Arabidopsis thaliana: one gene and its partners. The protein of the gene in region 2 interacts with the protein of the main gene of each other region in a pairwise test. Each region holds a gene or a part of one and is shown on either strand. Other genes may lie near its edges.

The links.
Region 1: the proteins of RVE2 (region 2) and MYB70 interact in a two-hybrid assay, tested with the Arabidopsis thaliana proteins (one large-scale study listed by BioGRID).
Region 3: the proteins of RVE2 (region 2) and ERF2 interact in a two-hybrid assay, tested with the Arabidopsis thaliana proteins (one large-scale study listed by BioGRID).
Region 4: the proteins of RVE2 (region 2) and AGL23 interact in a two-hybrid assay, tested with the Arabidopsis thaliana proteins (one large-scale study listed by BioGRID).

Annotation. Positions count from the first base shown.
Region 1 is NC_003071.7:9,903,097-9,909,248, forward strand, and holds MYB70 (myb domain protein 70), read right to left. Parts: upstream 2,937-6,152; 5' UTR 2,729-2,936; coding exon 1,799-2,728; 3' UTR 1,410-1,798; downstream 1-1,409. Other genes in the region: AT2G23270 (uncharacterized protein), read left to right, coding at 215-475.
Region 2 is NC_003076.8:14,749,813-14,756,047, forward strand, and holds RVE2 (Homeodomain-like superfamily protein), read right to left. Parts: upstream 3,277-6,235; 5' UTR 3,161-3,276; coding exon 3,149-3,160; intron 2,689-3,148; coding exon 2,626-2,688; intron 2,537-2,625; coding exon 2,425-2,536; intron 2,294-2,424; coding exon 2,232-2,293; intron 2,147-2,231; coding exon 1,532-2,146; downstream 1-1,531. Other genes in the region: AT5G37250 (RING/U-box superfamily protein), read left to right, coding at 533-1,159. UniProt on the Arabidopsis thaliana protein: Positive regulator for cold-responsive gene expression and cold tolerance. Part of a regulatory feedback loop that controls a subset of the circadian outputs and modulates the central oscillator. Negatively self-regulates its own expression.
Region 3 is NC_003076.8:19,169,512-19,175,504, forward strand, and holds ERF2 (ethylene responsive element binding factor 2), read right to left. Parts: upstream 3,446-5,993; 5' UTR 3,244-3,445; coding exon 2,512-3,243; 3' UTR 2,132-2,511; downstream 1-2,131. Other genes in the region: AT5G47210 (Hyaluronan / mRNA binding family), read right to left, coding at 1-22, 108-266, 367-508, 591-656, 752-1,070, 1,342-1,501.
Region 4 is NC_003070.9:24,278,548-24,284,278, forward strand, and holds AGL23 (AGAMOUS-like 23), read left to right. Parts: upstream 1-2,789; coding exon 2,790-3,101; intron 3,102-3,235; coding exon 3,236-3,604; 3' UTR 3,605-3,686; downstream 3,687-5,731. UniProt on the Arabidopsis thaliana protein: Probable transcription factor that controls female gametophyte (megagametogenesis) development and chloroplast biogenesis during embryo development.

The DNA of each region.
Region 1 (6,152 bases), on a different chromosome or scaffold from region 2:
TCACGTCTTGTTGAATTTTAAGCTTATGAAGTCAAAAACTGAAAATGTCAAACTTTTCTTCTTCTTCAAGGCTCTTCACTTTACTATATATTCTAACTCCCAAGTCCACAAACTACTCACAACAAATTTAGTCATCTCATAAATTAGGGAACACAAGAAAAATAAAATAAAAAACATTTTTGTTTTTACTACTCAAAAATACCACTCAAAGAAAATGATGATGAACAAAGTTGTTTTGGGTTCGTTTCTGTTTTTCATGTTGGTGAGTTCGAATTTTGTGGTGGAGGCTCGTCCTTTGGGTTTAACGAAGGCTGAAGAGAACCTCGTGGCTAAGTTCTTCGATGGTTTGTCACTTGGGGCGATTAAGGAGTCGGGTCCTAGCTCTGGTGGTGAGGGTCATCGGTTCGTGGACCGGACTGAGACGCTTGAATATGGTAAGCATTCAGGTCCCAGCACGAGTGGACCCGGTCACTAAGTTCCCGACCGAACCAGTTAATGTGGCTGCTTTGGTCTAGCTCCGGAAATTGATTGCTTTGTTTAGTTTTTTTTCAGATTAATTATTCAGATTTTTCTTTTTATGCTTAGAACTTGGGAAAATCAAGAATTGGAAGAACCTCATTTGTTCTCTGTAGGAATATTCTTTTGTTAACTTATTGAAATTCATTTGATAATAATGTACAATGTAATATATATTGTAATTAATTTATTATTCTGATTATGTGAATGAATAACTGGATATTCATGTTTTTAATGAGTTTCAATAACAACATAGTTAAGCTCCAAATCCACAAAGCAAAAAGAAGCGACTTAACTTTAACCTTCTTCTGAGTGATAATCACCTAAGCTTACCTCTTTAACAGCTACATCCACTTCAACTTTAACCAAGAAATCGCGATTTCCGTGGAAATTGAAGTTAACCAATTCTTTAGATAGTTTCTGAAGGATGTTGTTCCGGATGGAGCTGTGGAAATTTGGCTTGGACAACAAGTTATACACATATCTAGTGCATATTTCTTCTCCATTATATAGGTAAACATTAGGAGCCTTACGTGCAAAGCAATTGAACCCATTTATGGACATCATCAAGCAGGAATTGATGCAAGTGTGACTCCTTGTTGTATTGTATGCCAAATTGTGAAAAGGAAGCATTAGTTGTAGCAGCTGCTATGGAGAAAGGTACCATACATCCTATTGGAAGGTATTTGCTTGTCAAACATCAGTAATCTTACACCGCTTGATAGTTATTAACACAATCAAACTCTTTCTTTTTTGCAGAGCCACAGTATTGGGAAGGACCTCCCTTGTGCTTTGAGTATTTCCCCGGTAGAGGCCTTACTGCTACAGTTAGTTGTATTGAGGTGATCTGTTCTACACTCTGTATCATTCATTGAATATCTATATATGATGTTGTCTCTCACACTATAACCTTTACTGCGATGCTATAGTCGGTAACCGAAGGTAACAAACTACGGAAATCGTCACTTGGTTCAGTAGAATTCATTACTTCACTCTTCGAATCGCAAGACCAGTCTAGAGAGATCAAGAATGCTGTAAACTCCTCTTTGTATGGAAATGACTTTGTTCATGCTCTTCTTTCACTTTATCAAAAGGTAACATTGATTCACCTCGAGGACCAGCCTCATCAACCCTTTTATAGACCAATTTCATTAAATCTAAGACATGTCATGATCAAAATCAATACATTTATTCAGTTTTTTTTTCGAATGAATCAAATCTCAAATCATGAAATTGGCTCTTTCTCTGCATTTGCTACACAATTCTTCTCTTTTCTCACTCACTACTCGATCCTACCTAATCCAATAAACTCTCTAAACCCTACATTACGACCATTAGTTCCTTGCACCATACACGAACTTGCTCCTCCTCCAGCTCCTCCGCCGTTTCCTAGCTGTAAATCCGCCATGTAACTCCTAACCTCCGTCTTAATCATCTCCTGCACCACCGTCATAAAATCTCCACCAAGTCCAGAAATCTCTCTTTCCTTCTCTTCTTCTTCTTCTCTCTTCACCGGAAACAACTCCGGTGGAGTTGTTGACTCATTGACCCAAGGCAAAGACAACCTCAAACAAGTCATCGGATCTTTCTCCTCCTCCTCCGGCGATGATGACTCAATCACCACTCCACCAGCTCTCGCCGTCGGTTTAAAAACATGACAAGAAGAAGAAACCGGTAAAACAGATCCACTAGATTGCGATTGCTCGCTGACGTCAGATCCCGTTGGACTTAACGCCGTCACCACAACAACTCCTCCTCCACCACTCGCCCTCCGTTTTAACGGTTTTTCATCAGTTAAATTACCATCATACCCTCCATTACCACCGAAATCACAACTCTGCCCTTCCTCTCCTCCGCCGCCTCCGCCGCTACATTTCCGCTTCAGCGTTGAGTTCCAGTGATTCTTAATCGCGTTATCAGTGCGACCATTGAGAAGCCGTGCAATCGTCGCCCACTTGTTACCAAACCGAGCGTGCGCTAGTATAATCGTATCATCTTCCTCCGCCGTGAATCCACGGTGCTCTACCTCCGGAGAAAGCTGATTACACCAACGGAGACGGCAAGATTTACCGGAACGTCCAGGGATTGATTTGCTTATCAGAGACCAGTTCCTTGGTCCGTGCTTCTGAACCAACGATTGTAACAGATCGTCTTCTTCAGGACTCCATGGTCCTTTGATCCGATCCATTTCTTTCCGGGTCGAACCAGACATCGCTCGGATCTTCTTTTTAATTTAAAACTAATCAAATCGTTTAAAACGCGTTTCTATTGTTTGGGGATTTTGGAAAAGAACGAAACGATTTTTGTTGAGAGGATAAGTATGAAGAGGAGAGAGTATTTATACGAGGTGTGATGGTTAGAGAGGTCACCGGTTCTACCGGTAATTTTTTATCGTTAGTTAACAACAACTTAATTTTTTCGTAACTGTAAATTGGATTATTTACGTGCATAATTATGTTTTCAACTGAATCAAATTGAAATAAGTTAACTGACACCAAATTAAATATGTAAGTATATGCCGTTTTGTTTTATTATTTTAAAATCCAGAAAACTGAAATTTAGTTTGAACCAAACAAAATAAACTCTAAACTAAAATTTATTAAAATATATACTATTAAACAAATTATTATGTAATGTTTTTTTAATGAATGTTAAATTATAACTAAACATGTACTGTATTTCTAACTATAACTAAACAAAGATATTAAACTAAAATCAAATCATATTACATCAAATTATAAATGCAAACCTTTTTCAAAAAATAAATTCAAATTAAAAATTCTTATATATTGTAGTTATGTAAAACTATTTAGAAAAACTACATATTTAAGTAATTTTGCGTAATTTCTAAATTGGATTAGTTATGAAGAAGATGTAACGTGAGTAGTCTGATACGTATTTGAATATTTAAAAGAGAAAGAAAAAAGCACGTCAGGGAGTGGCGGTGCGATTGGGGGAAATGCGTCTGAGAGAGTGAGGCTAAAATAAAGAGAGAATCTTTCCAAGAAAACGGTTGGGGATTTGGGAAACAGCTGTTAGTGGGGACAGCTGTCAACGAAATATGTAACTGTGTGTGATAGAGAGAGTACATTTTGTGGTACTTGAGAGCGTTTCACAGGTGGATCGTTTTTTTATTTAATTTAAATCATTTCGTTTTTAAGTTATTTCCTTTTTTAATTATCTTTTCTTTTTGCATTTTGAAGGTTACATTCTTTGTTTTTCCTTTGCATATCAGTGTTGGTATGGTCGAATTTTTGAAGATTTCTATTTAAACGTAATTAGATGCACATTAATTATCGTTGTCGTATCTAAAAACGTATTTAAGTTTTTTCGGTCGTTTTATTTGTCGGATTATAAAATCTTTAGTTTAGGTTGTGAAAGATTGACTCTTATCAAGACCGTCTTTACCCCATGGCAAATTAGGCAAATGCCATGGATCTATTACTGATTTTAAAAACAATCATAAGCATAAAAGGCCCAATTTTCTTAAAACAAAATTTTATTAAGAGATTTTAGTTTTTATTTTTATTTTGGCAAAGGCTCAATTATAGCTTGAGACGGGACTGTTTCTTATATCGATAGAAAGTAATTAATGTTATCTTTGGTTTGATCGCATATACTTAATAAATTTTATCCGTAGTTATTTCAAAATAAAGGATTTATTGATTCTGAAGACTAATGTTTTTTAAAGGGTTTGTGTTTAGTTGCTTATGATTTTAGTTGTTGGGTTCGGTCTCTTTCGATTTAAGTTTAAAAACTTTTGTTGGTATTTTCATTAGATTTAGAAAAAATTACGTTTTCCTTCGACTTTAATTATAAAATCATATATGTCGTGTGTCGTTTTAGTTTTTCTTTTTTGAACGTTGTATTTTGTATTGGTTTCACAACAAATTTAAGAATATTTTTATTTTTTATTTTGTTGTGTGAAAACACATTTTGTTTTCAATTTAAAAGCACTGAAACACAAACGTCGCTTTTTTCGAAATTGTATTTTGCGTATTGAATTGACGTATCTATACATATTAGAAACGTATAAGTAAAGTATCCATACTTATTGAGTGATTCCAGTTTCTTCTGTTTTTGTTTTTGATTTTCTGATTAAAAGAAAAATAAAACGAAGATAAGGATGACGTTAAAAGTGGTTTAGGTTTTTTGTTGGATTCTTCAGAGACTTTTCTGACTAAAGAAGCCAGCCTGTATGCCAATATTATTACTACTTTTTATATACAAAAATCAGTTATTTTGGATATTCAAAAAGATACTAATAAGATTCTTACGTAAATCGAAAACGACAGGATAGATCGATTAGAGTTTTGAGAGCCTATCGTTACTATTCATTGTTTGATATAAGCTAGTTTAACATGTCTAAAAGATTTATGTTGAAGTAAAGTTCATTTCCTTTGTCGTTTTATTTGTTGTCAACATGATACTCATATACAAAGGAATACGTTAAACCGTACATCAGCCGTGTACCGCACAAAAAACGTCGCCTGCACATGTTCCAATGCCAACATGAACCTTGTCGTGAGCTTCCTCATTCTCTTCTTTCAAGTTATAGTTAGATAAGGTAAGAGATATCGAAAAGAGTTCTTAAGATTCTGTTTAATTATCGAAGCCAAATTTTATAGATTAAACAAGAAGGTGTCATTAATGGAGATACGGTATGAGATTTTCCCTTATTGGTCCATCGTATCTACTACCAAATTCTTCCTTCCCATAATTGTATATACTATTACCACTAATCATTTATGTAGTTGGTATTTTCTTATTCAAATTAAATATTAATGACATTGACCGAGTAACATGTATAAGTGTATGTGTGGTCCGCAATCGTACTTGTATATCTCATTTACTAACTCTGCATCCCTTCACGTGAGATTTGATTAATGTTTCTCTCATTATCCTGATACCCTACACGTTTTCTGAATAAATCTACGAACATGAAGTGGTATGCATTGGAAATTTTTAGGCGTATGAGTGTTTTTTCCCCCATTATATGATATGTATCTCAATGTGCTTTTGTTTTTTTATGATTTTCAACTATAGTAGTTTTTCATGATAATCAATATGCTCTGTCCCTTGATGTATCATACAAGTATTACTTTGTGATGTAGTGAATGTAATACATTATTAAGTGGTACGTCCATCAAAGTATTATAAAACAATAGTTTTTTCCTTTAAGAAAGTACAACTTTTCATTACGAATTTTGAGGGAGAATGTATTGTAACTCAATTCTTAAAATTATATTCTTTCACGAGAAAGGAAATTATTCCGTTCGGTCTGTGTCAATTCCATTATATATACTCACATCGAGACGTAATATCTACTTTTGTCGAGAGAAAAGCATGTGACTGCCGGAACAAAAAAAGCATGTGACCATATATCTCTCAGTTCCTTGTAAAGCTATCTCTCGAAATGAGTTTATTTAAAAGTATTCAAAAGTTCTTTGTTCAGGTTCAATGTATGTGTGAGCATATTCCTTTGGCAATTGATATCTATTAAACCAAAGTCGGAAATTTTTGTAAGGATATTGAAATATTGTCTCAAGTATTTCGTTATCAGAAACCTTAATAGATATCGATCCAAGTTAACGAAGAAGATGTAACAAAACTAGATCATTGGGTGTTCTACAGTT
Region 2 (6,235 bases):
TAATTCTATTAGTTATACAATAATAAATAAAAAATAAATATAAATTAGCGATAAAAACAATTAACATATTTTTATTAACAATTTTTAAAACAAATCCAAGCGTAATGGAAATTCATCTAGTATAAGTAATGTTGCGAAATAATGTGGAACGGTCTGATTTGTTATCTGACTTTAGTTAATTAAAATTAAATAAAAAATTTGACGCGTTTTGTTAATCTAAATTTCCTTTTTATCAAAAAACTGATTGTTTCCTTTTTATTTTTATTTTTACTAAATTCATGTTTTCCTTTTCTTTTCTTTTTTGGTCAAAGTTTTCCTTTCCTTAATTTCCTTTTTCGTCAACAAATTTGTTTATGATTTCCTTTTTTCCAACTGAAGCGTCGAAACGTAAAATATCTCTCTATATATATATTAATTCACTCAGCCTCACTTTAAGTCAATTTCATCGATCTCTTCTCTTTGATTTCACAATCTTATCTCTTCATATCAAAAGTTAGGCTTTGAATCTTCTTTTTCTTCTTCTTCTTCCACCATGAATACATATAGTAATTTGGTGTCCGTAAAGATTACTACAACAGCAATGATCCTACCACAAGATCAAGGGTTTAGAAACACCGTGTTCGTCAATCTACAAGATGTGGTCAACGAGTTAGCTGAAGATCAAAACGGTGTCGTAATGTGTTTGGGAACGTTCGCGGCTCCACTTATGACTAAAATCGAATTGAAACCATCATGTCTCAGTTCACATCACATCTATCAAGACCTTGACGAGTTCATCACACATACTGAGTTTTGTCGATTGTTGAGCGAAAGGATCGTTTTGGATTGTGCTCATATTCCCCAACCTTTTAGTGTGTCCTTATACGTGGAAGTGACAAGAGATGTTATGTTCTCGTCTATTGCTGTTAGGTCGACAGATACGTTTCAAAGATTGCTTGAGGAACAAACAATGGAATTGACTGATTTGGGAGATGAAGAAGAAACCACTTGTTCGATTTGTTTGGAGGACTTTTCGGAGAGTCATGATGATAACATCATTCTGTTACCTGACTGTTTCCATTTGTTCCATCAAAATTGTATCTTTGAGTGGCTTAAGCGTCAGAGGTCGTGTCCTTTGTGTCGACGAGTACCGTACGAGGAAGATCTTGAAACAGAGTGAAACCGTCACAGAGACTTGAAGCTAGTCTTAGGGTTTATGATGCATTACTTGTTTCTATGTTTCAAACATTTGCTTTTGATGTATTTTTTGTAAACCTAATCTTTTTTGTTAATCCTTTCGAATGAAATGCTTGATAGAGACTACTATTATGTACAACAATTTAGAGTTATCAAGAAGATTTGATTGATCAAATAAAAATGTTTAAGTACAAGGATCTCAATTTCTAACTGGTTATATGGAAAGACACGAAACTTTGGAGTGATCTTACGAATCTAATCCAAAAAAACTTTCCCTAATACTCTGACATTATACACATAATCTGATGTTGAGATCAAAAGAGTTTACACAACTGACTTGACACAAACGAACACTTCACCACAAAGGATATGATAATTTTACATTGTCAATGTTTTCTTCCACCTTTACTCTCTTTTTGTAAGGCATGAACCCTCTCATGTTGTTCATCTCAGTCACCGACGATTTTAACTGAGAGAAAGCTGATCTCTCACTTCTTTTGAACTCCGACACTACCACTTCTGTTTCAGCGTTTTCTGAAGTAGAAGAAGAACATTGAAGAGACTGTGTTTCTGAGTATAGCTTCTTCTTGCCATCTTCAGAATCATCACAACTCATTGAAGAGTTGTAATCACCAACTACAAAAGTTTTTCCAAAGAGCTTAAGGCTCTGTTTGGTCTCTGCTTCTAGAGACAATGATTCCTCTGTGTGAGATGATAACTCAGCTGAAGAAGAGTTAGGTGAATTTGAACCAATGGAACCTAATCCATCTGAGCCATGAGCTGATAAAACCGATGTTGGAGATCGGTTATCTTCATCCTGAATCAGCTTGGATCCGGTTAGTTCAGCGTATACCATCTCTTTTGCATCAGGAATCACAAGCTTTCTAGGGTAAGGATGCATCGGCTTTCTCTTTGGCCTTGGAGGCGGGATCTCAATGGACTCAGAGCTAACACCAAAATCGCGAGCAACCTAATAAGAAAAACTTGAATTAGACCTTGCTTAACACGAAGAGGTTGAAACTTTTTCATGTATAAGGGTCTGCAAGAAGGCAAACCTTAGTAAAGAACTTCTGCGCATGGCTTCGAATCTGAACTGCAGTTTTTGTTCCAACATGTTCTGTTCCATAGAAGAACCAACAAAAGTCAGATCTCTACTCATTACTAGGGTCCAAGTAGTTTTCTTATATCTTCATCAAACTTAGATTAGAATGTGCATTAGACTCTCTAAAGTCAGATAAGCACACACACCTTCGATTCGTCTCCAAGCTCTGCCATAGAGTTTCAATGCTTCTACAAACTTCTCATGCTCTGCTTCTGTCCATTTCTCTCTTTGTTTAGTGATGGTATAAGGCTTTCTTGTCTATAAACAAAACAAACCCTAAATTAACCTCATATTTAAGTTCAAAACCAATCAAGAGTAAACAAGAGATTAAGAAACAAAATTAGTACCTTGAGGTAAAAGGCATCTGAGGAAGATATAAGTTCATCAGAACATAAACTCTCACAACGTTCCTATAATCACAAAGTAAGAAAACACAATTAGTCTCTTAATATATTGTAAGAGTAATTAAATGTTACAAAGAGTCTAATAAAACTAATTAATACGCAACTAGAAGAGGTAGACCACCAGTAATAATTAGGGGATTAGAGACATGTTCTTACCTAATACGGATCAATACATTAAGAAAGAAGTAATCTCTCTTTAAAACAACCGACCATAATATCCCACATAATCGCCTGGTCTATTAACACAATTTTTAACCTGCCACAATCGAATAATCTTCAGTTCCAAGTTCTCTCAGACAAAGAGATTAAACTTGAAATTAGATAACAAAATAACCTATTTTCTCTCGGACATAAACCTAAGTTTAGGTTAAATCTGTCTGGATTCCACAAGACTTGAAACATAACAACAGTAACAAAACCAAGATCAAGATTGCATAAAGAATAACAAAGAAGATAGATCTCAAACCTGCATAGCCATGGTTGCAGAAGAAGAAGAAGAAGACTTGAAGATTTAAGATCTGAAATCTGAAGCTGAAGAAGAAGAATAAAGAGAGAGAGAATTGTTTTGAGATTGGTGAGAGAGTTGTTGTTTATGAAAGGAGCAGAGTCAAGGGGTTACTTTAAAAGAGCAAGAAGAAGATAAGCCACGTAAGCATAATGTTTTTCTTTTTATAAAAATTTGGGTGAAAAAGCGTAAAGAGGGGTTTCGAGAAACTAGTATCATGTGGCTCAGGTTAAAAGATGCTAATGACACGTGGAGGATTTCTTCTTCGCTTTCACTTTTGTCTTTGCGGAGAAGATATTATCTGTTCTTTGTTAAATCTTGTCGGAGATTTTTAATTGTTTAATTTATCTACTAGAAAGTTTTTTTAAAGAAGCTCATTTCATGATTATTGCCAAACTCGCGACTGGTGAGCGCGTGTCTTGTTTAACAACGTTGTTTACTTCTTACCCCATTTTGTTGTTTTTTATTAATCAAGTTGATTGCATATTTAATTTTAGGTTTAGGTACAGTATTTAATTGAAGTTGAGAAATACAGTTCCATAAAATAAGATTAAACAATTATATTATTTATTAGTAATATAATCACTATTTTTGTTTTATTAGAATTAACAATTAAATAAGATCTCACTAAATAGATCTAATCATATCATATTGACATGAGAATATATTAAATGAATATATTATTAAATTGTTTTCAACAATTTAGCGATTTGAGTTGACACACTTTATCTATTGATAATTCTAATTCATATAATGTTATAGAACATATTCTTATTCATAACAAATTTCAACAATTAATGCTATTTGTGGAACATTGAAAAATATGTGATATATTTGGAAACAAAATTTGTTTTTGTGCTAAGAATTACCCACTAAAATTTGGATTTTGGAATATTATTTTTTCTTCCTGATCATATAATTAAACAATTTCACTCATTTTATTCGTACTATGTATATTTGCATCATCAAACTGATGAATAGTAAAAACCTGAAAATATATTACATACTAAGATCTCAAAATTTGAATATAAAATACTAAAATGCATCAACTTAGAAGATGATCAATTGAAAATAAGTTTAATATCATATGACATGTTTATCAAAATAAATATATAAGTTAGTTTAGATAAAACATAATATGCAATTTGAATACTAGAGTAACAATAATATGCAATTTGAATGTTTATGACCCAACAAGTATTGAATAAAGACAATGTTGAATCACACCTAGCAAATTGTTTATAATTCAAGACCGTTTTTTCATTTATCTTTTATATTAATTTTGTTTATTCTTTTCTATAAGAATTTGGCCTACTTTGTTTCTACTATATATAACATAATCTTTAATTTCTATAATCTCAACTAGACGGTGTGTCAAAGTTCTAGTACCATTCCACTAGTTAGAGCTCATAGTACCCGAGAATGATGAGTATAGTTGGTGATGATATATGATTTTGAAAAGATTATATGAGAAACAATAGCTAGAGAAAGAGCCCTTGATACCTTTCTGAGTATGTCCATATTCAAATTATTAGAAGTAATAACATATGATTGAGTATGTTGTACAATTACATACAATATATCAAAATTTAAGTACGAAAATACCACACAATTCATCAAAATAGAATAAAATATATGCTTAAATGTAAATAAATTATATCATGCAGCAATCAAATCATTTTCATCTAAACAAATGTGCAACTGGAATTAGTTAAAAAATTAAATTTATATGGTTCCTATAAAATTATAGTAAAATATGTCGCATATCAGAACAAATGCTCTAATTATACAAAATTTATGATATTTTCGATCACTTAAATAATTCTGAATTAAAATATAATCACGCTCTTTATTATATTGATATTTTTGAAAGCATTTTAAAATAACCTTTTATAACATTTTTTTTTGAAAATGTCTCCAAATGTTGTCCATTTTCAATCAAATCACTCTTACAAAATTTTATAAAATTTGAATAAGGAAATAAACAGATTTCGTTTATTTCAAAAAATCGTAAAATACTTGATAATTTGGGTTTCAGATAATCAAACATAAACTTAGATGTAAATATAAGAAGACAAAACTGAATTTTAGCATGAACAAAGTGAAAAAAATTGTGTACCCAGCCACTCTCAAGCAAGAACAAAATGTTCATCTTATTAAATCTATAAAAACAATTTCAAAGTCCAACCAACATACATATCGCCATAAATATTAAGAGACATTTTCATCAAATTAAGTTAATCCAATAAAATTAGTATTTTAATACGCTATTCTTTTGATTTTAGTTAGATTTTTCTTAAACATTTCTAGAAATTTTACCGTAGTTTTTTTTTTTTTTTTTTTTTTCTTCTCAGTATTGTTTTTGCTTAAATACTTTAAATTTAGACTATTTATACCTAAATGAGGGCCAAGAACTTTAGACTATGAACCTAGACTTATCAGGAATAGTTAGGTTTCAAATGACAGATCATATATTTTTGGAGTGCTCTCTTTTGACCCAAGTATGTGGCAAAGAAAGCGAGTAGCTAAATAAAAACATACACGAGCGTTGTTTAAAAAGAAGAAAGAGATATTTAAATTTCAGTAGCCGTCAACTTCAAAACAAAATTAAATAGGTATTTTATGTGAAGGACAAAAATTGTAAAATAAATATCTGGAAGTCTTCAATGAAAAAAAAAACCATTTATCCAAATTAGAAATTGTTTGGTACAACTGTCTCAAAATGAAAGAGGAGAAAAAAAACAACACTTTTGTTTTGCACTTTATTGCCTAGTCAGCACAAAAGTGTTGTCCTCTGAGATGTTCCAAAAGTCAGACACGTGTCGTTGTGTTTAGGTAATAGAGAGAAGGATAGGGATATGGATGGTTTGTTATTCTACGCCACTCGATTATTTTTTTATTACCAAAAATTTGTTGCCCACTCGTTTTTTTTCGGTGTTTTAAGCTATCGAGTTCATGTTTTTTTTTTCTTCAATCGCTACATTTTTTTGTAGATCTTACGAATCTATAATATTCTTAGAAAAATACTTGTACCAGTAAAATACTGGT
Region 3 (5,993 bases), 4.4 Mb from region 2:
TGCGTTTTTCCTTGTCAGATCCCTGAAACAATAAAATACCAAGTATTAACTATTGCTCCGTTACAGTGAAGGGAATAGATAAACTGAACAGTAGATGATTTTCTGACCAGCTTGATGAAGATTTCTTCATCGGTGTTCTTCTTGTTAGAGAGCTGTTGCATGGACTCAAACACTTTGGTGTCAACTTTCCTTTCCTCAACCTTTGTGGCTTGCAGAGCCTTCTTCTTCTCCTCCAGAATTTTCTCATACTCTTCTAGAGTCATCTCCTATATGACAAAACCATATCAGTTCAAAATGTTAGCAAACATTCTACTTCAAACTTAACTAAACCTCAAAAGATGTTTCAAGAGCTGTAAATGATTGTACCCTGGCTTCAGCTTCTTCAGCTTCTTTCTGTGCTTTCTCTTCCGCAGTGAGTTCTTTCTTTGCTTCAGGGGTTTCATCCTCACCTCCTTGCTTCTCAGCAACAGGGCTCTTCTCAACCTCTGTGGTAGGTTCCTCAGACGTTCTAATATAAGAACAACAAAAGTTTATAAACAACCTAAAGTTAAAGTCATATGGATAATTAAAGTGAAGACAAGGATGCTTACGGAGGGATATCATCTTCAGTAGTGCCCCAGTTTCCACGACCTCCACCATTACGTTTCATGCCAGTACTATCAAACATCAAGTTAACATAAATGAATCACAAACAGAAGAAGTCAAACAAAGTAGTAACTAAAGTAGTGGACAGAACAAAAAGAAAGCTTACCCATGACCTGTCCTGCTATGGCGGTCATAATTCCTCGGTGGGCGTTCAACATCACCAGATTCCCCGTTGGCAACTCCACCACGGCGAGGTCCTTCACGACCACCGCCAACACGGTATCCACCAACAGACCCACCACGGCTTGCTCCATCAGCATCTTCAGAAGGTCTCCTGTATCCTCCAGAAAATCCATTCTCATTTCCAGGAGCATCATTGTTCCTGTTGTCCCGGTTGTATCCACCATTACCCCTGCCACGGGAAAATCCACCACGTCCACCAGTCCCACCACGACCTCCTTGAGGAGCATTCCTCGACTCCCTCACTACATTCATAACAAAAAGCTTTCAATATATATACTTATCCTAATCTAACAAAGTATTAAGCTTTACCCTAATCTAACAAAGCAGTAGAGAAACAAAATAAGATACGGAAGAAACTAACAAAGCAGCAAATGAAAAAAGCACACACATTTGACTATGGATCTTTCATGACAACCATAAACAAACTTCACTAGAACTAATCAATCAAACACTAGACAAAACACAGCTGAATCTAAATCTGTTAAGTATCAACATAAAGGAAAGAACTTTTACCTGCTTGAGAAGGAGGAGCCGGCTTGGTTGGGAACTTAGCGGCCTTAGGAGGCTGAACAGCAGCAGCAGCTTTCTCGACTTTCTGAGACAAAGCCACAGCGAGCTGGCTTGGATCCTCAGCATCATCTCCTAGAAGATCGAAAGGGTTCAAAGACGCCATCACCAGTCTGGTAAGATCGAGTTAGGTACAAGTCACAGGAGAAATTGGTTTACTTTGATGGGTTTATAGAGAGGGAAATCAGTAATTCATGGCGATATACAGAATCAGAAAAAAGAGGTACTTGAAGAGAGATTATTCGGACAGAGCTGTTTGTGTTTAAGAGATAGCGAAACAAGAACCCTAAGAAAAGATGCGGCAGTGAGAGAGAGAGGTGCGACTTAAAAACCTAATCTATAAACCCTTCCTGAGTTATTATTCTCTGCGGCGGGTGCTATTTAACTGTGTTCTGGTCCTCTCTTTATCTATCCGTGGGCTACAAACTGGTTAAGCCCATTAACAATAATAAATATCAGCTCTCGTTGGTTAAAGCCCATTAATGAAAAGAATATTCGTTCTTAGTCCATTAAGAGAATAACTGGGTTTCAATACTGAATCCTCTAGGCGAGACACGGTTTTTCTCATTCTAAACCTTTATTGGGTTCAAAGTTTTATGTGCTTCAAAAATCAAAGATATAAATTGATTGCTTAAATGAATTTTCTCTAGCAGAGCCTTTGCTTGTCGACCTTAGACAGCTTCATCTTCTCAAGAGTATCAAACAGAAACATTTACAAGTGATTACACACTTAAGCTCACAACATTTACAACAAAAAAAAATCTAAAATAGATAGGTTATTATTTATTGTCGCGCTACTGTTGATGGATTTTGGTTTTAGTAATTGTTACCTCTTCGATCAAGTTTTGGCTACTTAGCAATATAGAACTCAAATTGAGTTAAGAGATTGTATTAGGGGATATGGTGTAATACTTTAATAAAGCCGTGAATGTCATGTAAGAAATGAAACTAGATTGAAAAATTAACACTCACGGCTTTATTAAAGTGTCTATTTTGTTTATGGATTGAAGATATATGGCTCTGTTTAGTAACTAATTTACATCACGGGAACACTTTTACTTGGTGCCTCAACATTTATAGCAAAACTATTCAACTACAAAACACACAAGATCAAACTTATGAAACCAATAACTCATCAACACGTGTCTCATCACCAACCTCACACTTCACCTGCACCACCTCCGACGTCAGATTCTCTGCTTTTCTCCTTCGTTTCAACTTCCCGTTTTCAGACGACGACGTAGAAGAGGACGACGACGACGACGACGAAGAAGATCTCTTAGACGTGATCCGAACCGGGTCAGGTTCACCGGAATTAACCCTCAACGGAAAATTCAATAAAGCGCGGGAACCACGCATCCTAAAAGCAGCTATATCGTAAGCTAAAGCCGCATCTTCCGCCGTCTCAAACGTCCCTAACCAAACCCTAGCTCCATTCTTCGCCGGATCACGTATCTCCGCCGCGAATTTCCCCCACGGTCTCTGCCTCACTCCTCTGTAATGCTTCGCCTTCACTGCCGTCTCCGTAACCGGTATCGCTTTCTTTGGTTTCTCCTCCATCGCCGTAAAGTTCTCAGTTGGCTCGACTTTAACCGCCGGAAAATCAAAAAGACAGCTCAAGTCCGATGATGACGTGTCAAAATGGAAGGCATCTTTGAGGAGTCCGTACACCAACATGTCCTCTGAATCATTCTCTTTCAATGGCAAACCTCCCCAACTCTCTGTGAAACACGAACTCGGTGTTGACTCATTGAGTCGCAGCTCGTTCTCTCCTCCTCCTCCTAGCAAGTGACGTGTTATCGACTCCAACAAAGCGTAGTCGGATTCTATATTGCACTGTCCGTACATTTTCAGAGAAACTAACTATAGAGTTTTTTTTGTTTTGTTGATTGATTTATCAAATATCTGAACTTTTTTCTATGTGGAAGGTGGTTAAGAGGTTTATATAGAGGGTACGAGGTTCACGAACCTGGAAAAAAAGAAAAAGTTTTTCATGTTTTTCCAAATTTGTTTTAGTTTAGTGGGTAATTAAAAAATATGAAAGTTGTGGATTTTTCGTTACTACGAAGGTTCGTGAATTAAACACGTGCGCTTTATCCACAGATATCACAATGAAGAAGGGTCAAGATGACGTCATGTGGTCATGACATTTCTGGAAGAAAGATGCTGATTTGGTTTTGTCTCTCAACTTGTCCCTTGTTTTGTCGTTCGGTTTTGAATACGATTCCCGGTTTTATTAGGCAAAACTAGTGTTTAATTAGTTTGTTAATCGAAAACCAAGGTCTTAATTCATTATACTTTGTTATATCGACATAAATTTTCAACTAAACTTATATTTCATCGCCTTACACTAGAGTAATAATTTTTGCTTAAGTATACTTTATTAGATAGTATTGGCAAGTATATTATATGTTTAATTACATGAAATCTAAGCTTAGATCTTGTTATGGTGGTGAATGAAAAATCTTAACGAGGTGGGCCATAATTATATGAATGGGGACACTGAAAGTGTCTGCAAAAATCGGGATACATTTCTCCTGGTCACCAACCAATTCATATCATCATCTTTCCCTTTCACCTTTCATTTTTACTAATTTCTAATTTAGAATTTTCCTAATTGCCAATGTCATGTTTATTTTAGTACTTTTTGATACAAGATTTCATGATTAAGAAATTCATTAGTGCCACTTTAGTCAATAAATATGGAGTAGTGAAATCATAGTGATAAAGTTTTCATGCAAAGCTCAATTTACAAACCACAGTTTAATCCATATTTGTTGCATTTCTTTTCTTTCTTTTTTGAAAATATAACAGCCTTAGATCTTTTTGTACACCAATGATTTGGAATTTTGTGGATAATTATTGAATTTCCATCTCTTTCTATTGGCTAAAAGTCAATAACAACAATAAGGCTCAAAGACAAATTAATGGTGGGTCTCTCACGTATGTCCACTTGCAAAAGGGACCTCCTTCACGGAAGCATAGTTTAGTCAATAGTCACTCAAACTCTCTAAAAATTAGTTTACTATATATTTTTAATCTATATTCGATTCCAAGAGTAGTTTTGGTTCAAACACATCATTCTGGTCAGATGGTTATTTCAATTTTGCTGTTTTTGAGTGTATATATGATGTTATGTTTGTAAACAAATGAAACTTTTAATTGATTACAAGAACATGAATAGCTCTAAATATGATTAAAAACGAATTTATTTATTTCTTTGGTAAAAGAATAATGATAATATACTTATGGATCCAATCAGGTTAAGTTCCGTTTTGCAATTAAATACTTTGATTAATTAAATATGAAAGTAGTAGTTGAACTTTCGTTTTTATGTTTGAACTCCGCAGCTAATCCTCAAATTATCTCTTTGGACGTTTCACATACATCCACTTTTGCTGTATCTTAGGAATATATTGTTTTCATATTGTTTCTTGTTTCTTTATGATTTGGGTTTATATAATTTTCAAATGTCATGATGATCATCATTTAATCTTAGTTGTTTTAGTCACATCTTATTATGCTTATTATTAGTCGGTGATAGTTTAATTTTAAGACGTAAATCATCTATTCTCATATTATGCTAGAACAAACTTTTTCTTTGTGCAACCTCCTAGAACATATAGTCGCCTATTATCCATGGATCCCAGATACTCCTCCAAGACCACCGAAAGGTTTAATTATGGATAGGAACCCTTTGGTCTACGTTAACACCTTGATTGACTTCCAGACGAAGAGGTGGAAAGTAGATCGTCTACGGGAGTTGTTCCCCCCCCCCCCCCCCCGAGGATATTACTTTGATTTTAGGGATAAAACCGAGGCTAAATGTCTCGCGAGATGGATATAGTTGGACATTGACTAAGTTCGGTAATTATACTGTCAAGACAAGATATGAAGCTGCGAGAGCCCTCTCTCGCCCGTCTTGCGACCACCCTCTTCAGGGACCTAGTGTTACGGCACTAAAGGCGCAAGCGTGGAAATTAAAAACTACACGAAAGCTAAAGCATTTTGTGTAGCAATGTGTGTCAGAGTGTTTAGCAACTTGTCAACGCCTATATTTTCGCCATATTGGTAGAGATAAAAAATGTCCTAGATGTGGGGCGGATGAAGAAACCATCAATCATTTAATATTTGAATGTCCCCCGGCAAGACAAGTCTGGGCGCTATCCGGTATTCCCTCCTCTCCATCTAGGTTTCTTTCGTCTTCTATATACAATAATCTCGATTATCTGTATTGGAGAGCGAATGAGATTGGAGCTTGTGAGGAGAGCTTACGGGTCTTTCCATGGATAATGTGGTATATTTGGAAAGCGCGAAACCGAAAAAATTTCGAAAGTATTTGCGTGCAACCTCAAGACACTTTAGACTTAGCAATACATGAGGAAGAAGTATGGAGGCGAGCCAATAGGAGAGAAGAGCAACCAGAAGGTACCAAGCCAAGTTTGGAAGGGCAACATATAGATATGGCTTCCCCAATCTGCTTCATTGATGGGTCTTGGCATATAACTGATTCGCGGAGCGGTCATGGGTGGATTTTGACCCGTGGGGAAAGATTGCTTCATTTAGGATTGAAGGGTTCACGTCGTTGTTTATCACCG
Region 4 (5,731 bases), on a different chromosome or scaffold from region 2:
TAAATTCCATAAGTTTCATTTTCTTCAAATTGTAAATTACTGGAGTTTCTTAATCTCTTTTATAACGGATGTACTTATTTAAGAAAAATAGAAAATAAGCATTTGCACAAATTAAGAAAAAGATAAGCATAACCACAACTGAATTAAGAAGGAAGGTTTTGATCGGAGGAAGGTTTTAAAACCACAATTGAAGAAGCCAGCTTGAAAGACCGGGATTAATATATGAATTATGTAGATTTTTATTATTGTGTGATTTGATATTTTCAATTTTAATGTTCTGTTTCAAAGATGATTGACTATATTCCTCGGTTAATAAAGCCAATACATTACAATATATATGACGATATCTGAATGTATAACTCTCTGTAATGTAGATATATTTTTGGTTTCTATGGGGTCAGAGACAATTGCTGCTCTGTGGTTTTTACACACTTGGTTATTTATCGGATGTGTATAGTAGCTTAACATGCTTGATAATTCCATGTATGTGTTTAGAGTTTAGTTTTCATTATCAGATAGATATTAGTTACACTTTATATTGAGGTCCCTAAGTTAAACCATGCATATTCACTATCATTATTTCGGTAAAAGTTAATTATACTCAAGATGGTTTCTCAGTTTGGGGGAGTTGCAAGACTGTAGAAAGACCTTGATCTCCATTGCCTTCACTTCACCATGAGTGAGCTTAAAAGGTAACTTTCATTTTCAAAATGTGATCTTCTGTTATGTCTATGCGATCATTCTAAATGAAACATTAGTAACGTCACTGATATTTCAATACTCAAACTAAACAAACGGATAAAGAGAAAGTGAATTGACTAACAAACTGGTGTATATATGCTTTATATCCAAAGCCTTTTTTCGTTTTGTTTAAGTCGTTCTTATCTCCACTCTCTTTTTTATTTTCTTTGAAGGGCACAATATCACTATTGTATACGGCTTTTGTTGCTAAACTACTTTTTATAACCTATTCCCATGGTGGCAAGAATTTGTTAATGCAATTTCTGGAGAAATAAAGGTAATGTAGTCTCTAGCTGTAAGTAAGGAAATCACTTTAAGAAAATGCAGATACTATACAGGAAATTCGGCTACTCTTGAGAAAAGTCATCTACTTAGGCAAAAGATAAAGTGCAAAATTTAACGTTGATATCCGATATACATAGATAGGAACGAGTACAAATATGAGATTTGTTCTTTACAAAGCAATTTTACATGCACCACCAATACAATCAAAGAAAAATAGGTATCTGCCCAATGTTTTCTGGCGTTTACTTTAGCAAGCAAATCTTGCAATTCATCAAAATGTTTATGAGTTCTTGAAATCATTATAATAATATAAAATATCTAACTTATTTTCCAAATTTTGTCACTTAACATTTAACATTGCCACCACTTATTATAGTTAAAATTTACATTGTTGTAAAGAAATTTCAATAACAAAATATTTAAGAATATTATCCAAGTTTTATTTATTTATTTATATATTTTAATTATAAAACTCCAAATAAAATAAACATTTAAAATAATTAAAATACTATGGCATAGTATTAGAGTGAGTCGATTTCTAGTATAATCAATTATATACTTTTATTGTCAAAATATATAATTTACTCCTACAATGGTAATTTATTATTGTTATAATGTTTGGCATTCAAATTTGTTACCTTATGTGATTGTAAAGTAAAACATAAGATGTCGTCATGTGTCATGTTTAAATTGGATTAATATATTTAAAGATAACATAAACTAGTTTTTAACCTTATCTAAAAAGAGAGTTATACATTTATTTATTTAGATATTTTTAATATGACAATAAAAATTTGAAAATTCGGAGATAAAACATAATTTAATTATTTTTACATCAAAAGTCGGCAGTCTAAAAATTCAAAAGCAGGCGATTAAAAATAAATTATTGGACAACTTTTTTAATTTAGATATTTTTAATACTACAACAAAAAGTTGAAAATAATTTTAATAATGAATTATTATACAATTGTTTTTATTTAGATAATTTTAATCTTATACAAAATACTTGAAAAGGCGGCGATGACATAAAGTATTAAGGAACTAATTTAGTTGGATTCTTTGTAACATCCAAAAATAAAAACTTAGAAAGGGGAATCAATCTTAGAGATGTGTGAAATATATATATATATATATATATGTTTATCTCACAATAAAAACTTGAAGAGTCGGCGATCACAGTTAAAATATCAAACAACTATTACTTAATATGCAATAAGAACTTTGAAAGTCGGCGATCAAACTTAAATTTATATTTTTCAATTTTCTATATAATAAAAGGAAGTTGGACATAATATTTCATTAATGCATTATGAATTTTATATAAATCTTAAACACTTAATAATTATTTATTTTATTTTATAAGATTAGTTTGATTAATAAAAAAGGTTAAAAAGGATATTGACTATAGAAAATAATGGAAAAAATCCTTTAACCAATCATTGGTACCTATATTTGATAGGTTTGTAATAGGAAAGATATCCCCAAAATTTTTAATAACTTGACAGGCTGTAACAAATATAATAGCTAAATGATAATGTTATAGATAAAACTGTAATAATTATATACCTTTTATTGACAAAATCTGTAAATCTGTATCTAAGCCTTAAATGGTAATTTATAATTTATTTCTAATATATAAAATAGGAAATTATATTTACATTTAAAACTCTAAACAAATTTTGTATGTTTTTTTCTATAAATACAAAGACATATTATCTTTAATACAATCAATTCAATTTTTCTTTCTTCAAAACATCTAAAAAATGGTGAAAAAAACTCTTGGTCGTAGAAAGGTAGAGATAGTGAAAATGACTAAGGAATCAAACCTTCAAGTCACATTTTCCAAGAGAAAAGCTGGTCTTTTTAAGAAGGCTAGTGAATTTTGCACATTATGTGATGCAAAAATTGCGATGATCGTGTTTTCACCAGCTGGAAAAGTATTTTCTTTTGGTCATCCAAATGTTGATGTTCTGCTTGACCACTTTCGAGGGTGTGTTGTAGGACACAACAACACAAACCTTGATGAAAGCTACACAAAGCTTCATGTTCAAATGCTCAACAAATCCTACACTGAGGTAAATGTCAATTGTTGGCAATATCTAATATTTGTTTCTCTCTTATTTTTCGATTTTGATATTGAATATTATATAAATGTTTCACAATTCATGGATATTCTTAACAAATTCATTATTCGTGGATTTATTCGTAGGTGAAGGCGGAAGTAGAAAAAGAACAAAAGAATAAGCAGTCGCGGGCTCAAAATGAAAGAGAAAACGAAAACGCTGAGGAGTGGTGGAGTAAGTCTCCATTAGAACTCAACTTAAGTCAATCAACCTGTATGATACGTGTTCTTAAAGATTTGAAGAAGATAGTTGATGAAAAAGCAATTCAATTAATCCATCAAACAAACCCAAACTTCTATGTTGGAAGTTCTAGCAATGCTGCTGCTCCAGCAACTGTTAGTGGTGGTAATATCTCCACAAACCAGGGGTTCTTTGATCAAAACGGAATGACGACTAATCCTACTCAAACACTTCTGTTTGGATTTGATATTATGAATCGCACACCAGGAGTTTAAATAAGTCTATCCTCATTATGGGTCTTGGTACTATAAGTTCATCTCTCTCGTTGTTGACTTTTTAAGTCTCCAATAGTTTGTTGTGTCTTTTTTTTTTTTTTTTTTTTTTTTTTTTTAATTGTTGGTGTCGTATGTCTTTTAATTAAGTCTTGAGTCAATTGGCTTGTTGTTTCTTTTCGTTGTTCTTTGTGTCTTGTAGCTTTCGATGTTTTTTGGTGGAACATGAATAAAGCTATATGAAGTTTTATAATATTTTCATTACTGTGATCTTATATGTTTATTGTGTATATGGAACTATATATTTTTGAGGCATAGTTAATATTCTAGTAATTTCCCAAAGATCTATATAAGTCTAGTAATTTACAACTTTGATATGCTATATTAACTCAGCCAGCACAACCACAAAGCTATAGACATCACTCTTTGCTGTGAATTGGCTAGACTGAAAGTACTCAGGATCCATATATCCCATCGCGAAACTTTGGCTCGATATTTCTCATCTAACATGATGTTTGTAGACTTGACGTCTCTGTGATAGATTGGAGATGATTCAGCCGAGAGCAAGTATGAAAGAGCTCATGCAATATCCACTGCTATGCGGAGACGTACATCCCAAGTAATCATCGTGAAATCATCAGCTTATCGTGAAGATGCTCGAAAAGGTTGCCATTGGGAATAAACTCGTAGACGAGAAGAAGGACATTTGTCTCATTACGGAAACAACCTAAGATTTTCACGATTCTATGGTTAATCTGCGAAAGAATTACAACCTCATTGATGAACTCTTCTAGCTTGTCTGCGTCCACAACTTTGGGTTTCTTTACTGCTACAATTCTAGCATCGACAAGCATTCCCTTGTACACAGTACCTTGACCACCCTGACCAAGTATTCTATTTAGGCTGAAGTTTTCAGTGGCTTTCTCTAACTCACTCGAGCTGAACACTCTTGTCTTCTCGACATTGCCTTCTGTTGAAGTCAATTGTTGTTGCAACAATAAACCCCCAGTACGTTTGAAGAACTTTCTCTTTTGGTTTAGCCTCATTTGTTTTCTACTAAATTTTATAACCAATATACTCCACCAATGAAGATTAACAAGCCTAACCCTGCAAACCGGCAAAAACAAAATGATTAGATATATCTTGGAAATATAAATACTAAAAAATGAATAACTTCTATTTTATTTTATTTTGGTGTGTTGAATATTAACTTCTTTTATTGCTTGTGTAGATGGTAATATTAATTACTAATGGCTAATTAGGGGTGTTAATTTGTGTAAATTCTCATTTATTTAAATGCGAATTACTTTGATCCATACGGACCTATTTAGACCAATTTATAATTTAAGCAATATATATCACTACAAAAAAACGGCCTTTAACGTCATTTTATTTAGATGTTAACCTCGGTATTTATATGACCTAGTTATAATGACATCCGTATTTAATTGACAATTAATAACATCGGTATTTAACTGATTTTGAGATCTAAAAATAAGAAGAAAACTTTAAATACAATTACTGACCTTGGCATCCGACGTATGGGTTGCCGTTGTAACCGCTATTGCATGCACAACTTGCATATCTTAAATTCACATTATAATCACATACATGGATCAATAAATTCCTTCTTATTGTACTCTGTTAAATTCTGGCATCCCAAAGAGTCTATAAACGAAAGATCCGTAGTGTGAATAAACCATCCTAGCTCAACGTGAGAATATCGTAGAGCATGGATCTGTTGTGGACTGTATCTACCCAACATATCATACGGTTCGTCTGTTAAGAAAGCAAATTTGCACCCTTTAGTTGTTGTGTAACTTGTGTTACTATCTTCTATTTTGACACCAACAGTCAACACGTTGAACCCCATAAGGCATGCTTGCCTTGCAGGCTGCAGCATCCAATAGCATTGCAACTTGTTGACCTGAATAGAACACAAGCGTGGAGTATCCGATTCGTCAGCGCTGCCTTGTTATAGCAATTGATTCTTGCAAAGTAATAATCTGAAGCTATAAGGTTTTTTGCGCCACAACTTGACTTGCATCCCACCACACTTGGCTCGACATTCGTTAAGGATGCCGTATTGTTGCAACCAGCCGCTATAAGTGTTTGTGCTATTTTTCTTAT